Stegostoma tigrinum: one gene and its partner. The protein of the gene in region 1 purifies or fractionates together with the protein of each later gene. This does not show direct contact. Links are inferred from orthologs where the notes say so. Each region holds a gene or a part of one and is shown in the gene's direction. Other genes may lie near its edges. The genes, in order: irf2b and irf2bpl.

Region 1 (8,268 bases):
ATAAGATAACAAAGTGTGAAGCTGGATGAACACAGCAGGCCAAGCAGCATCTCAGGAGCACAAAAGCTGACGTTTCGGGCCTAGACCCTTCATCAGAGAGCATTCTGCTTCCTGTCTGCTAACCAGTTCTCAATCCATGCCATGACATTTCCATCAATTCCATGTACATTAATTTTGCACAATAACCTCTAATGTAGAACAAATCAAAAGATCTCTGAAAATCCAAACATACATCTAGCTGTTTTTCCTCATTGATTCTACTCATTAGATCCTTAAAAAACTTTAATAAGTCTGTCAAACATGATTTCCCTTTCATAAATCCATGCAGACTTCATGCAATCCTACTATTTTCTAAGTGTCTGTTATCACATCCTCACATATTTATAATAGTCTCCAACATTTATATAGATGCTGCTGCACCTGCTGTGTTCATCCAGTCCCACTCTTTGTTATCTTGGATTCTCCAGCATCTGCAGTTCCTATTATCTCCTATTACTGTTGTCAGGTTAACTGGCCTGTAATTCTTGGTTTGTCCCTTTCTCCTTTTGTAAAATAGTGAGGTTACATTTTCCACCCTTTAATCTGCCAGAACTGTTCCAGAATCCTCAGAAGTTTGGAAGATAACAACCAATGCATCCACTATTTTAATACCACCTCCTTTAGTACGCTGGAATGTAGATTATCAAGCCCTGGGAATTTATCAGCTTTCAGGCCCATTAATTTCTCCATCAATTTTTAAAATAATAATTCCTTGGATTTATCTTTCCCAATAGAGTCTATTTTCCCTAGTACATCTATGAAATTATTTGTCTTTTTCTGCAAAGACAGAACTAATAGTGTTGCTGAATTGCTCTGCCATTTCTTCATTCTCCACTATCAGTGCTCCAGTTTCAGACTGTAAGAGGCCACCATTTTTCTACCTTTGTTTTTTTAACATACTGAATTGGAAATAAGTATTGGCTTTGCCAGTGATGCTCACTTCCGGTGAATGAACAAATAAAACAATCTAATTAATACCCAGCCAATGACTTACTGACAGTTAAACGCCCTCTAGCTTGCAGTTACTTAAATTTAAATCAACAATTAAATGCAGATCAGTGAAAAGCACAATTTCGGCAGCTCTTGCCCACAGATCATGCTTTATTTGCAACATTTCAAAGGTAAATGATTTGCGACATCCCAGATTTTATTGAAACCCACACTCTGAACTCCTACAGAAGTCCATTCTTAATACCTAGTCTTATCTCAATCCTTTATCATTCATGAAAAAGGACTTCAGCTGCTCCACATTCCTAAGTGGTCAGCCATTTTGTAATTAATTTTAAACATAAATAAATTTATAAGAACTGAAAGTCTGTATTTACACCAGCTTTGTTCAACTCCAGAAATGATTAAATCTTTATAAAACATTGGTGAGACTACATCATGTATTGGGAACTTCACTTACACAGGGAGAGACTGGAATCTGTCCTTAAAACAGAAGAGGTTAGCAGGAGCACTGGGAAGGGTTTTGAGAACTATAGAGAATCTCTTCCTAGTGGAAGAGAGTTCCTGACCAGACGGCACAGTTTGAGGATGATTCACAAAAATAACAGAGGCCAGATGAGGAAGCATTGTTTTAAACAGAAACTTGTGGCAATTTGGAATGCAGTGTGTGAAAGAATGGAGAGTCTTCTTAGAGGTTTATTGCACAGAACAAAGGCCCATCAAATCTGCGATGGTCAAAAACCTTCAGAGGTTTAATAGAAACTTTCAAAAGAAAATTAAATAAGTCAGGAGGAAAGAAAAAAAACAAAGCTAAAGGATAACAGCAACCATTAATAATTGGCTAGTTCTATCAAAGAGCTGGCACAGATGTGGTGGGTTGAATGGCCTCTCTTTGCCATGGATCATTTTCTGATTCTGTGGCAGTACATTTATCTGTTAAGCCTTTGAGGACTTCTGAAAATATAGTGCTAACGTGGCTGTAACATATGCATCTGTGAACAAATGCCAGTGCAGTGCATCATTGAGAATGGGGTTGGGGAAAGAAGTAACATAGAGGTTAGTACTTCTGGAAGTATCATAAGGGTTTTGACATAGTGCCAATTAACAGACTTGTGAGGAAAGTATAGATCATGGAGAAAACACAACAGTCTCAATGTGAATACAAAATTGACTGGGTGACAGGAAACCGAGTCATGATTAATGGGTATTTTTCAGGCTGGAAAAAGATTTGTAGTGGAATTTCCCAGGGGTCAAGTCATTTGTTTTTCCTTATGTATTTGAATGATCCAGATCTTGGTATGCGAGGGACAAGTTCTAAGCTTGTGAATGATGCAAAACTTGGGAAAATAGTAAACTGTGAGCACAGTATAGAACTTCAAGTTGATAGAATGGGCAGATAGGTGATAAATAAAGTACAAATTAGAGAAATGTGAAGTGATTGACTTGATCCAAACAAGATGGAAAGACAAAACAAAATATGGTACTGTTCTAAAACGTGGGCAGGTGCATGGAGATCTCAGTATATATGTAAATAGTTAATTAAATGTGATAGGACAGGTTGAGAGAGCTGTTAATAACGTATACAGTATACTAGGTATCATTAACAGAAGCATAGAATATAAGTGCAGGGAAGTTATTTTGAACTAATGTAGGACTCTTATCTAGGCTACTAGTGAGTGGGCCTAGTGCAGACTTGAGATAGCCCAGTGTGGACTCACAGCATCAGAGTTGCAGAATGTTTGGGTTCCTGGTGCCTTCTGCATTGTTGAGGCTGTCCTAGCACTGACTCATGGCTGCAGTGGAGGAGATGAATTTGTATTTTTGTCAGTGTCTGTGGCCAGGGCAGGCAGCGGTGGTGCATTTGTACCCAGTATAAGAGCCTGCGGCATTGGCGGGGTAGGCCTGAAGAGGAGTCATAGTGGCTGTAGAGTCAAGTTTGGGCCAATGTAGCACCCAGTGACATCTGCATTGGTGAGGTCCAACGAGGACTGATAATGGTGAGGGTGTCAATGGATGGCAAGATGGCACTGGAGTGGTGACTTTCGCTCCAGTGGCACGGTGAAGGGGCTCTTGCCTGGCCACCAGGCCCATGACCTATCGTGGAGCACTTAACAAGATGGACTGTAAAGCTGAACACTTTTTCTTTATTTGTCTGCCATATTATTCGAGGTTTTGGTTTATTTTTTCCACTATGCAACACTTTTCACTGTATTTCGTAACAAGTAAAATCTGATTAAATCAAAGTTAGATGTCAGCTGGAACATGGCATACAGTTCTGAGTGTCACACTATAGGAAGTTTGTGAATGTTTTGGGAACAGTGCGGAAAAGGCCATTGAGGATGGTTCCAGAGCTGAGAAACTTCAGTTATAAGGAAAAATTGGAGATGTTGGGGATGTTCTCCTCAGAGAACAGAAAGGTAAGAGGAGATTTATTAAATGTTTTCAAAATATTGAGGGTCTGGAATGTACTTCCTGATAGCAGTGTTCCCTCTAACATTTTTATCAGCTGCACAGGCCCCTGAGGCCCTTGTGTGGCACTGACTTCAGCAATCAGAAGTCAATGTTGCAATTGGCATGTTAACATTGAAAACCATGGACCATCAGTAAGGAGACACACAGGCACAGCTTAGAGGGAATGTAGCCTGGAAAGTGGGTGGAGGGAGGTTCAATAAAGGCATTCCAGAGGGCATTGGTAATTAATTAACTTGAAACAATGTCCTGAGTTATGGGAAAAGACAGTTAATTGGCAATGACTGCTGGAAAATGGGGCTGGAAGCGTTAAGACGTTGCTTTTGACATGCACATACGTGATGGTCCAAAGGGTCTTCTTTTGGCGCAGTAGATCTGTGACTGAGTAAATTTAAAATATAAAGACAGCGCAGACAAGATGCACCAAATGGTCTCCTTCTGCACTGTAACAATTCTGTGAAGCCATGTACACATTGTGCAGGTAACAATCATGTTGGCAAGGTAGCACATGATTTGGATGAATTTACAGGGATAAAGAAGGGATAGGGAATCGAACTTGCTGCGTAGCTTTACAGGAACCACAGAAACCATTGGTCAAATGGTCCCCTACTGTACTGTAAAACTCTATGATTCTAAGCCGTAGCGTATCCATCTGGCATTCTCGATGATTCTGAAATGCAGAGTACTTTGCTATCCTATCCGAAAAAAAGCAGCAGCGACAAGAAATGGAGAATAAAATCAGCTGAGCTGATTTTTGTGCCGCATGGAAAAGCATAGACATGGTTGCAACGCAGGCCCATTTGTTGAGGTGTCGCAATCTATTCTCACGGTTAATGGTTAAAAGCAGCCAGAGGGAAATTACAACCCATGGTGGGCGAGTTACTGCTTCTGCATCAGAAGATGTGAGAGTTACAAAGTAGGCCGTATAACTTTGTAACAAGTCACAGTTAAACTTTCTGGAGTACACGGAATTAACACAGCTATAACAGGGTTAGCTACCAAATAACACGAGGGGATAACAACTCAGTATGTAACAGTTTCTCCTTGTTTCTCTCACTGTAAAACCATTTTCCATCAATATTAATTTTTGCACCTTTCCAAATTTAATAACCAGATCCATTAATTATAACAAAACTAAAAATGTGTTTGCTCTAACAGTTCCACACATCAGTATCTTGTGAGTATGTGAAATGAAACTTTAACGGGCGGTAAATAATTAGACATTTCTTACAGTAACAGGCTCTCAACGAAAGAAAGCAGAGTATTTTTGTAGCCAAACAATACATGAATTATTTTGTTTAATCGTTGAAATTTATATCACGGGGTGGGGGAATCGCGTGTGTGCACAAACATGGGGATAAATATAGCTTCTCAGGCTCGACCTGTGAAGGTCAGGGCAGCACCGGGGGTGGGGGCTTTCTGTCCGCTCGCTGTGCCCGAGAGACTGGAGAGAGACCGACCCTTCCACCCCACAGGGATCTCCGACCAGCAGATCTCCGGACATCCCCTCTCCAACCGCACCCCCACCCCCAAATAACGTCCGACGACTTCCGGACACCAGACCAACAACACCGCCCCCCCCCCCCCGATCCCATAACCCAGGGATCTTCGGCCACCGATCCCTCACCACCCTCCCCCCACTCAACCATCTTCGGCCACCGCACTGCCAACCCAGCCACCCCCGCCCCGGCGGAGCTCCGGCCGCCAGATCCCCCCCGGTGGGTGCCCCGACACACTTCACTCTCCGAGCTGACGGTCTGGGGATGTGAAAACTGAAAATGAATTTCTGAGGAATCGATGCAGCCCGTCAGACCAATGGAAGTTTGCGGAGGACTTCCGCAGTCGGTGGAGTGAGGCCCGCCCAGGCGATGTTGTAAATTCTTAAGGCACAAACACGAAAACAAATCGGGGGGGGGGGGATGGAATTTCCAGCCTTCCGCCGCCTTCTTTTACTTTCGATCTAATTCTGCAACTGGCAGGACGGGGGGCTTGGGTTTTGTCTCTTTGGTCGTATCTGTACGTGTTCCACCACCCCCCCCCTCACTTTCTTGACGTGACCGTCCCGCTGTCAGCCACTTTGAAAACACCAGGGATCATTTATCTTTGGAAGTGGGGATTTGGAGGTAACAAACAGGTTTTGTCAAAATATTTGAAATGCATAGAGCAGGAAGTCGATAATTTTGTATTGCAACATTTTTAGGTGCATGAGAAATGTCAGCATTTTGTGACTAAAAAGAAAGAAACATAAAGCGTCGAACCGCGCTGCAAAAGGAAAACTAAAAGTGTTTCCAACATTTTCAGCGCCGAGCTTTCTCTTTTTTAAGGCAGTTTTAGTTTCGTTTTTACCATAAACACCTCTGCAAATGTTGGTAATTTAGTTAATCCCGGACTTGGATTTTTGCCGACACATGCAATTTGATTTGCTCAGTTTGTTTCTTTAACAAAATGCTACTGATTGTTGAATTTTTTTGCGGAGGGGTTGGTTCAAGTGCAGTCGACCTTTGGGTCAACAAGTGCACTGTTTGACAAAAATAAGTCTGGTTCCGTCTTGCCGATTGTTGGAAAACTTGGATCCTTTTCAGTCTCTGTGTTAAAATATGGAGGAACCAGCAGTTTGGGTTTGCTCGTTTTGGATTAAGGAAGATATCATCAGGTCTAGGTTGCTAAATTAATGGGAAGACATTATAAACTGAAATGTGTTAAACTCTTGACAGTTCGATTTGGGAAATTCAGATAATCCTGCAGTGGCGTCAACGCGTATTTATAGGACAACATTGCCAGTTCAACCGACATTAAATGTAGAAACTCGGATTGCAATTGTCATGACTTGTAACTTTTTATTTTAAAAAAGGTTTGGGGCTGCTGTAATGAGGGCCCGTGTTGGTTTTTTTTGGAAGCTTTTGTTAGTTTTAATCCTTTTTTTAGTAAACTCACTTCCGCCTTCCGATCTCCGGGCGCGTCAAAGGCGGGCTGATATTTTAATTGACATCTCCGTGGACGAATGGCAAGGAAAGGAATGTGATTGATAGAGGGAGCGGACAATGAGATGGCGTCGAGCCACTGACTGACGGAGATTGCAGCCAATGTACATGTCTCCTTCCCCATGTTAAACTGTCAACCCGAGGTGAACAGATGAGGTTGCGTTATATAATTGGAGAATTACAGTGTTTAAAAAAACACACACACAAGTTGGGAAATATGTCAGCGTGAAAGAAGAAAACATGTTTTTACTTGAAGCATGTAGGGGACTAGGATTCATAGGATTCAGTATCAGAGTTAGACCTGAGTAAAGTGTACAATTCGAGTCTCCATGTTTAAAAAGATGATAATACAAGCAGTGGAGAAGGTGTGTTGTAAGTTTACCAGAAACTGTGGGGGGTATGGCTATCAGAAAAGGCTTGAATGGTTTCGTTAGGAAAGAGAGGCGTGAGATGGGGCCAATTTAAAAGAGGCCTTTAAAATTACAAACGGGTTCGGAAAAGTGTGACTGGATATCTGTAGGGTGTCGTGGCGGAGTCCAGGATAGGCAGGAGCAAAAGCTCCTCAGGAGGAAACTCCTCAAAGACTGAGTTAGATTTAGATAGTTGGACCGTGGAAAGTGCGACCACATGGAATGGCCGAGCCGAATAATAGCGCACACATTTTAGGCAAAGTTAAGTAACGACATGAGATTGAAATAAAAAGAAGGATTCGGTGATTGTGTGAAATTAAAAATAAAGTGGGAGGAAGCTTGTGTGAAGTACGAACTCTGTTGAGGAGCTCCTAGGCCGAATAGCCTGTTCCTGTTTAATTATATGTGTTTAATATGGTCACAAAATAATTTAATTTAAGGTTAGAGATTTAAATTTAAAACCAAAACTTAAATCTTGTACAGAATGGTGATTTTTGTTTAATATAGTTTTAAGACCCAGTACATCAGTGTTTCAAAAAATAGATTAGCAAATAATTGCAGTAAAATGATTGTCAAAGTTATGGAGAGGGAACGTGTGGATAAAACCACCAGTTCAAATTTAATATGTGAAAAGGCTGTGATGCAACATTAGGTATTTAATCCAGCAAATATGGGTCTCAGTCACGAGTTACAGAGCCACTGAAAGCCTGACACCACATCCTTTGGGGAAGGTCTGCTATATGTATTGATTGGTGGGTCTGTCCAGGATTGAGCAACTCAAGTAGTGCAACTCTCAGCACCCACACAGAAGCCCCAAACTACTACCTTTAAACTTTCACTCACTCCACATTTGATGCACAGCGATAGCAGTGGCTACAATCTATAAAAGGCACTGTACTAACTAAGGCTCCTTCGGCAACTGCTTCTGAACTGTGGAGGGGCATGGATAGGGTGAATATCTAAGGTCTTTTTCCCATGGCAGCGGAGTCCAAACCTGGAGGGCATAGTTTTAAGGTGAGAGGAGAAAGATTTAAAAGGGACCTTAGGGGCAACACTTTCATGCAGAGGTTGGTGTCTGTATAGAATGAGCTGCCATAGAAAGTGGTGGAGGTGGTTACAATTACAACACTTGAGAGGCATCTGGATGGGTTCACGAACAGGAAGATTTAGAGGGATATAGGCCAACTGCTGGAAAATGGGTCTAGATCAGTTTAGTGATAGTGGGAACTGCAGATGCTGTAGAATCCAAGATAACAAAGTGTGGAGCTGGATGAACACAGCAGGCCAAGCAGCATCTCGGGAGCACAAAAGCTGACGTTTCGGGCCTAGACCCTCAAAACGTCAGCTTTTGTGCTCCTGAGATGCTGCTTGGTCTGCTGTGTTCATCCAGCTCCACATTTTGTTATCCTAGATCAGTTTAG
Region 2 (7,712 bases), on another chromosome or scaffold:
TTGCAATGATGACTGGTCCATCTGAACTAAATTCTTTATTCTCATCCTAGGAAAAACTGATCTCCCTTATAAATTGAACTCCTAATTCTTCTGAACTGATACTTTGAATCTTCTGGCATTTGGTTTATTGTTAACTCAGTAATATATAAACATTCTATCTATCAACACTGAGGGGAAGTTTTCCCAGGCACCTAAATACAGTCACATGCTTTCTTGATGATGATGCACCAAGTCACTGTTTAACATAACATTCTGACCTGTTTTTAATCAAAAATCTTCACAGAACTAACCCACAACCATCGGCATCTATTTAAAACCTACATATTATATACCTTTCATTACAGTTTCAGGCATTATTTTTGCATAATCAAATAAAAACATGGTGAGGATGCATTTCATTTCTCAATTTGGGAAATGAAATACCAAAGTCTCCTACTTAGGAAAAAAAATCATTACTTCCACGGTATGTCAGTTCTTTTCTTGAAATCTACAATACTTTAAAGGTCCAGTCAACTTTTGTTTTAATATTTCTGCCTGTACTTGAAAACCCATTTACTTTGCTCAGTGTCAACTTTAAACATTTCCCATGATAGAAATTTCACAAGCCAGATAAAAGAGTAGCACTCCCCTCATTCTACCTCAACCGGGTAAATCAACTTCACTGAAGCAGTATCTATTTTCCCTTGCCCACCAGCAATCCTCGTGGTCTCATGACACTACAAATTCTATATCAATTAGTTATTTGCTGAGCAGTTGCTTTGAGGTCGTTTGATTTAAACATTTGTTTTTCTAGGCAGATTAGAGAATTGTAGAACTGCAGGATGTGATATTGGTAGGAAATGATGAGGACATAAAATTTAAATATGAGAATCAGAAATTTCAATTGGAGGTGATGGGGTACAAGTGTATATCAGCAAAGTCAGGTGTGATAGTTGGACTGAAGCTATAATTAAAATCACAAACATAAAGAAAAATAGAGTGGGTAGGCAAGATAGGATCAAGATAGAAATGTTAAAGAAAGGCAAAGTAAAAAAGAAATCTAAAACAGTAATACAAGTCGAATATACATGTAAAAAAGAAAATTGTGCTACAGAGATGCTTGGCAGTAATGAAGTACAAATTCATCAAAAAATTGCTTCGACTCATACAGCACGTAAAACAAACCCTTCAGTGCAACTCCTCCATTTGACTAGACATCCCAATCTGACCTAGTCCCATTTGCCAGCATTTGACCCATATCCCTTTAAATGTTTTATATTTATATAACCATCCATTTCACTTTTAAATGGTATAATTGTACCCCCCTTCACCACCTCCTCTGGCAGCTCATTTCATACACTCACCACCCTCTGTGTGAAAAAGTTGCTTCCTTTTAAATCTTTCCCCTCTTACCTTTAACCTATGCCCTCTAGATTTTGTGTAATTCGCGAATGTTTAATTGTTAAAGGATATCTGCAGTCTTGTGTGAATTTGTGTTAGTGGCTAATTACCACAGTAACTGCCTGCAAATGTAAACATCTGATGTATCAAGCCCAGATTTCTTTTTGGGATCTGACTTGTCTAGGATCAACATCAGCTTGGATCATAATGGCTGATTATCAGTAGCACTAGCTCCAAGTGGAGATGAACACCTTCATGAAAATCACTTCTAAAAATTGAGAATTAACATGCAAATTGTCTTAAAAACCTAAAGTAAAAGATACTGTAATGCCAGTTTAGTCCAGGCAGAATTTTTAACTTTAATAGAAGTTAATCTATCGTAAATCTACTAAAAAAAACTGTTGGTTCTTTAACTAAAATGGTCGTTTTCACTGGTTAAGTATGATAACTGTTTCACTAAATAAAGATATGCCATGATGAACACAGTAGGGAAATAGTTTCACATTCACAGCTGAGTACCATATCATTTGCCAATTTTGGAATAAATCTATTTTTGGCTACAGATTAAGAAACAGGTTCAGATTATTTAAGTTTACTTTAAATTAGGACCTTGCTCTTTGCATAATGAGGACATATCCATTACCGATTATTAAGAATATGAAAACTGTTGCTCAAGGTAAAACAGTCTCCTAATGTACATTGTGCCTGCACCTTGTGTCCTATTGAAAGTAAAAAGGAAAGTTTTTAAAATTCACCAATCGTTTTTGTATTTACATTAAGGAACAGAAGCAAAATGTTTGTGTTTCATGGTATCCTTACATCAAGCTTTCCAATTTGAGATGAACTATACATGTTTTATTTTGATCTGTGAGTTTAATTATTTACAGCTGTGAAGGGGATTTTCAATCTGTCTGCCAAAATCCTGTTGACTGTATGATTTTTAAAAATCCTATTATAGCTACAAACAACTGTTAAAATTCGTTGGGGTTAACATAGGCGGACATGTGTGCATTTATTTTTCCAGGGCTTGGACATTCCCCTCATTCCCCATAGCAGTTAGTATGATCATCTGTAACACTTGATAGGAAATGAAGACTGATGAATTTCTTTAATCCCTAAATGAAGCATCGATTTTCAGTGCAAATAAACAGTAGAACAGAAGACAGCAATAATTTAGGGCTCTTAAAGGAACATTCTTATTGAATCTCTTGAAAGAAGCGAATGTTATTTTGGAACAGAAAGTATAGCAAAGAAAAAATACTAATAACTATTTTTGGCATTTCCAATGTTTACTAAAATTGGATTGCGCAGTTGTATTTTTCGTGGTCTCGCATATTCCCTTTCGCGTAGTATTCTGTGTTGAACAAGGTGGCATAGCAAGGGCGATACGAAAAAATAACCTAGCGTTATAGCCTTACTAGCATTCAGAGCTTGATCAATCTTGGGGAATTGAGAGTGGGCGTCTCAAAATAATAACTACTTCTAAAAATAAGTCCATGCGATTTAAACGAGGCCTAAGGTATCGTTATTTCAGACAAAATAACAGTGGATGCCCTCTGCCCTCGTGGTGTGAGCGGAGAGGGAGTTAGAATGTTCTTAAGTAAATTTACATTAACTATCTCACACTAAAAGCTCAGATGGAACAATGACTTCAATGTCATAATTCTGTTTTATTTTTTCAATTCTGCGTCGTGACTTGCAGTGCGTTTTTTTAAAATCGGTGGGCACGATACCATGCGTCGATAAAATGCTTAATAGTCTGTTGAGCCAAGATCCTTTGAAATGCATTTTCCATTTTTTCTTGATGTTGTTTCATGGTCGGGAACAGAGGAATAAACCGTTCACCTCATTATTTTTAAAGGGGTTAATAAATTATATAAAGCTGTAAGGTAGTCGCACGTTTTGAAGCTTTTTTTGAAATAAAAACTGTTTAACAATCCTTTTCAAGTTCCGAATTCCAGTTGTACTACTAAGATGCTTAAATACTGCAGTTTTGATATTTAAACACATTTCCGTTTTGTCAGCTTCTGGTGACACTTGCTTACATTAAAAAAAACTCTTGTGAAGTTGTGTTTACCCTGATTAAAACATTGAGTTCCCCCCAGGAATGGGATCTGAGTGTGCCACGGATCATTTCTTTTTATACAAGGTGGGGGAAGGGTGTAGTGTGAGATTTAAGTTCGACTTTAGAATGCAAGACAAAATTATTTTTCCTTTCGGAATTATTTTAAATGAATAAGTTAAATGAACTTATAGTTCAGTAACTGATATGTGTTGGGCAAATGTGGATCCGTTTCAGTGTTCACGGAAATGCATTACGTTAAAGGACAATTTAGATATGTTTTAAAATATTTTTTCCAATTGACTTTTTTTTCTGCTCTCTTTTAGATTACCTACAACCATTACAAGTTCGAGTTAAATTAAACAGTAACCAAGTAGTTATTTATTTTATAGTGCTGACGTAGCTTTCGAAGTTGATGGCCCACATCCATGTTAATAATTAAACCGTACTGTACTGGAAAAACAAGCAGCAACTCCCTCACCTCGGGGCTCGCACCATTGGGTAACTACTTTCATGAAAAGTAAATAGAAGCGTTCATTGGGAGGGAGCTTTTCGTTTTCGATTGAAGTTTACACGCACAAAATTGCACAACAGGAAACTAGCATTAGGCTGGTTATATGTGGGTGGAAGTTGCATAATTTGCTAGATATTTAGCTGGTGTTCTAACCTATGAAATTATTTTATACTTTTCTGACGTTATGATGACTCGATTTTACAATTTTCCCATCATGCTTCAAATTGCTAAGATTGTCGTATTAAAAACGGACCCTTTGCATTAGTATAGCGTCAGCCTTAAAAGTACATGCACTTGGTATTGAGCAGATTCCTACCAATAAAATGGGAGCCTACAAAACAATCGAGCTGCTTCAGTCCAGAATTAGCAGCAGAGAATGAAATGTCTGCTCATTGAGTGACTCGGTGCAAAACGCTAGGGAGTTGCGACATTCTGAAGGGAACTGAACTAGAACAAGCCCTGACGTCATGGGGCGGGACTAGAGCTGCAGCTGGGGGGGGCGGGGGAAAACCTAGACTGATTTAATATACTGTATAAAGTGCATACTTAAATAAGTAATTACTTTCTATTGTCAAGTGTTGAACTTTTAAGACGGTTAAAGGAATTCCTGTTATCATAATTTGTTTCTCGATCTGTTCGACTGGGTGAAGTACTCAAAAGCTAATTGTTTAGTCAAGTAAATGTTATTTAATTTCTATTCAGCTGTAACTGGTGTGTTGGAATTTTGTAGTTTAAATTTAGAACTTTACATTTATATACCAGCTGTACTGGTAACTAATTTTGCTTTTGAGCATAACTTCCGTGGTTAATATTTCGAATTATCACGGACCTATCCTAATAGACATTCCCGCAGTGTATTCTGGTAACTGAATTGTTACAATGGACAGTTAAAACATTTTTTGGGCCAGGAACCAGTTTCTATTCCGTTACAACCGTAATCTGTCTGAAATTGCTAGGTGTTTTGGAGTAAATCATGTGCACGATGATCCGGCTACTCTCAGGGACAGGGGCTGAGAGACTGGACTGTACATTCCTCAGAAATGCTTTTGGTGTGTTTGCTGGATAGAGTCAAATCCGCAGTGTTTGGTTCTGTACAGTAGTATACGAAGAACCAAACTGCTTTAGTGACTACGTATGCATATAAAGTTTTTTTTTAAGGAATAAAGTATAGTTTTGAAACTTTGATAAAGGGTAGTCAGCCGAGACAAGCCACATGCTTTAGACGGTGGGGGTGGGGAGTGAGGCTGCGCTTGCGTATTGGCTGCAGAGCGGCGGCTGACGTCACGTGGTGCTCGGAGAAGCTGAGTGGCGGGGCCGGGAGGAGAGGAGAAAGCAGACAGAAGAGCAGGAGAAAGGCAAAGAAAGCGAGGGAGCCTAGGCCTGGCCATAATACCGTACGAAAGGGCCACCGCGGAGAGACCCAGAAAACAATCAAATCTGAACATCTTCCGCATCATGTCCGCTGCACAGGTGTCTTCGTCCCGGAGACAGTCGTGTTATCTCTGCGATCTGCCTCGCATGCCGTGGGCCATGATCTGGGATTTTACTGAGCCCGTCTGTCGCGGCTGCGTCAACTACGAAGGGGCCGATCGCATCGAGTTTGTCATCGAGACGGCGCGCCAACTGAAGCGGGCTCACGGTTTCCAGGAGGGCCGCTCGCCAGGGCCGCCTCCTGTCAAAGTGCAGTCCTTGGGTGGCAGCAAAGAGGCGGCTCAACAGCTCAACCACGTCGACGGCTCGTCCAAAGGGCCCCAGCCGCCTGTCGATCGCTATTCTTTGAGCGAGAGACCCCGATTCGAGTACCCGAGCCTCGCCCATGCTGGCAGGCTTCCCAATGGCCTGAGTGGACCCAACGGATTCCCCAAACCTGAGGACATTCCGCCGGAACTCAACCGCCAGAGTCCCAATTCATCACGAAGAAATCATAACATCGTGCCCCCGGGCCCCGTCACAGTGCCGCCCAACTTGCTGCCGCAGACCACTTTAAACGGTCCGTCCGCAGGAGCTCTGGGTCCACACGGGCTGCTAAGCAGGCCGTCTCCTTCCAGCAGCTTGGCCGGGACATCGGTGACGGTCAGTAGTCAAGTCCTGAGTGATGTGAACAAACGGCCAGGCTCAGTGTCCAGCAGTGACCAAGAGAGGGAACTCAAAGAGAAACAGAGAAATGCCGAGACTCTGGCTGAGCTGGGCGAGAGCTTGAGAAACCGCTCTGAGGACTGGGTCAACAAGCCCAAGATCGTGCGGGAGACGCTGCTCACCCTATCCAACTGCAATCCCTTCGATGTGCGCTTTAAGAAGGATCACTCTCTTTTGGGCCGGGTATTCGCCTTCGACGCCGTCTCCAAGCCCGGCATGGACTTCGAGCTGAAGATCTTTATTGAGTACCCGAGCGGTTCGGCCAATGTCTTCTCCAGCGCCTCGGGAGTTGCCAAGCAGATGTACCAGGACTGCATGAAGGATTTCAGCAGAGGCCTATCGTCCGGTTTCAAGTACTTAGAGTATGAGAAGAAACATGGCTCGGGAGACTGGCGCTTGCTGGGTGACCTGCTGCCTGAGTCGGTGCGTTTCTTTAAGGAGGTGGTGGGGGCCGATATGCTGCCGCAGCCCCATATAGACGCCAATTGCCCCATTTTACCCACCGCCCTGTGTAATATACCCCGGCCCCCGCCCAACAGCTCGAGAACTGGGATGCGCAAACGCAAAGCGTCTCCTGAACCCGATTCGGAAACAGGCAGTGTAAAGCTGGAAGAGCGGCAGCAGCAGTGGCTGTCCAACCAAAATGAAGCCTTAAAGCTTACTATGGCGGCATCAGGCAGTTTTGGCTCAAGTGGTGTGGCTCATGGGGGTTCCGCTCTGCCACCCAACCGGACCACCCCTCCCGAATGCAGCGCCCAAAATGGACAGTCGCCCATGGCTGCCCTCATGTCCGTGGCCGACACCCTTGGAAATGCCCACTCTCCAAAGGACAGCAGCAATTCGGTACATTCAACCACGAGTACCAGCACTCGGAGGAATAGCAACAGCCCCGTGTCCCCTGCCTCGGGTGGTGGCCAGCGCCGCATGGTGTCCAGGAACGGGGATGCTGCACTGTCCGTTGCACCACCTAACAACCATCCCAACCCCAGCATTGACCCCGTTCATCCCCCAAACATTCCAGACTCACCAATGGCCAACAACGGGCCCCTGTGCTGCACCATTTGTCATGAACGTTTGGAGGATACTCACTTTGTGCAATGCCCATCAGTGCCCAATCATAAATTCTGTTTCCCATGTTCTCGGGAAAGCATTAAGGCGCAGGGGGCAAATGGAGAAGTTTATTGCCCCAGTGGAGAAAAATGCCCTTTAGTAGGTTCGAATGTCCCTTGGGCATTCATGCAAGGAGAGATTGCTACAATCTTAGCTGGGGACGTTAAGGTCAAAAAAGAAAGAGACCCATAATTTCTTAACTTCAGTAATTGAAGTAAAATGTGAATAAGAACTAAAAGAAAGTTAGTCTTATGTATAGACATTTTTCATTTCCATCGTATGTTTCTATATTTTGAAACAAGGTATGTACTCTTCTTCATTTGAAGGATGAACCTGGTTTTGTTTAAAGAATATCAGATATTATTGCTTAATACTGTTTTCACTTATGGCAGTGTGTTGGCTAGGTACAGAGCATAGCACTTAGCAATTAACGCTGCTGGTGTGTTTTTGTAAATGTATGCACTTCGCTGAATTGCCAAGGCCAGTGTTGACGTCTGCAGAAATGCAAAC

What was found.
Region 2: the proteins of irf2b (region 1) and irf2bpl purify together in Homo sapiens (affinity purification with mass spectrometry; 3 studies listed by BioGRID and IntAct, counting the BioPlex papers as one, with this or other methods). This does not show direct contact. The link is inferred for Stegostoma tigrinum from reciprocal best matches to the Homo sapiens genes IRF2 and IRF2BPL.

What each region holds. Positions count from the first base shown.
Region 1 is NC_081356.1:113,847,395-113,855,662, forward strand, and holds the start of irf2b (interferon regulatory factor 2), read left to right. Parts: upstream 1-5,065; 5' UTR 5,066-5,579; intron 5,580-8,268. UniProt on the Homo sapiens protein: Specifically binds to the upstream regulatory region of type I IFN and IFN-inducible MHC class I genes (the interferon consensus sequence (ICS)) and represses those genes. Also acts as an activator for several genes including H4 and IL7.
Region 2 is NC_081363.1:50,436,027-50,443,738, forward strand, and holds the start of irf2bpl (probable E3 ubiquitin-protein ligase IRF2BPL), read left to right. Parts: upstream 1-4,488; 5' UTR 4,489-5,411; coding exon 5,412-7,394; 3' UTR 7,395-7,712. UniProt on the Homo sapiens protein: Probable E3 ubiquitin protein ligase involved in the proteasome-mediated ubiquitin-dependent degradation of target proteins. Through the degradation of CTNNB1, functions downstream of FOXF2 to negatively regulate the Wnt signaling pathway.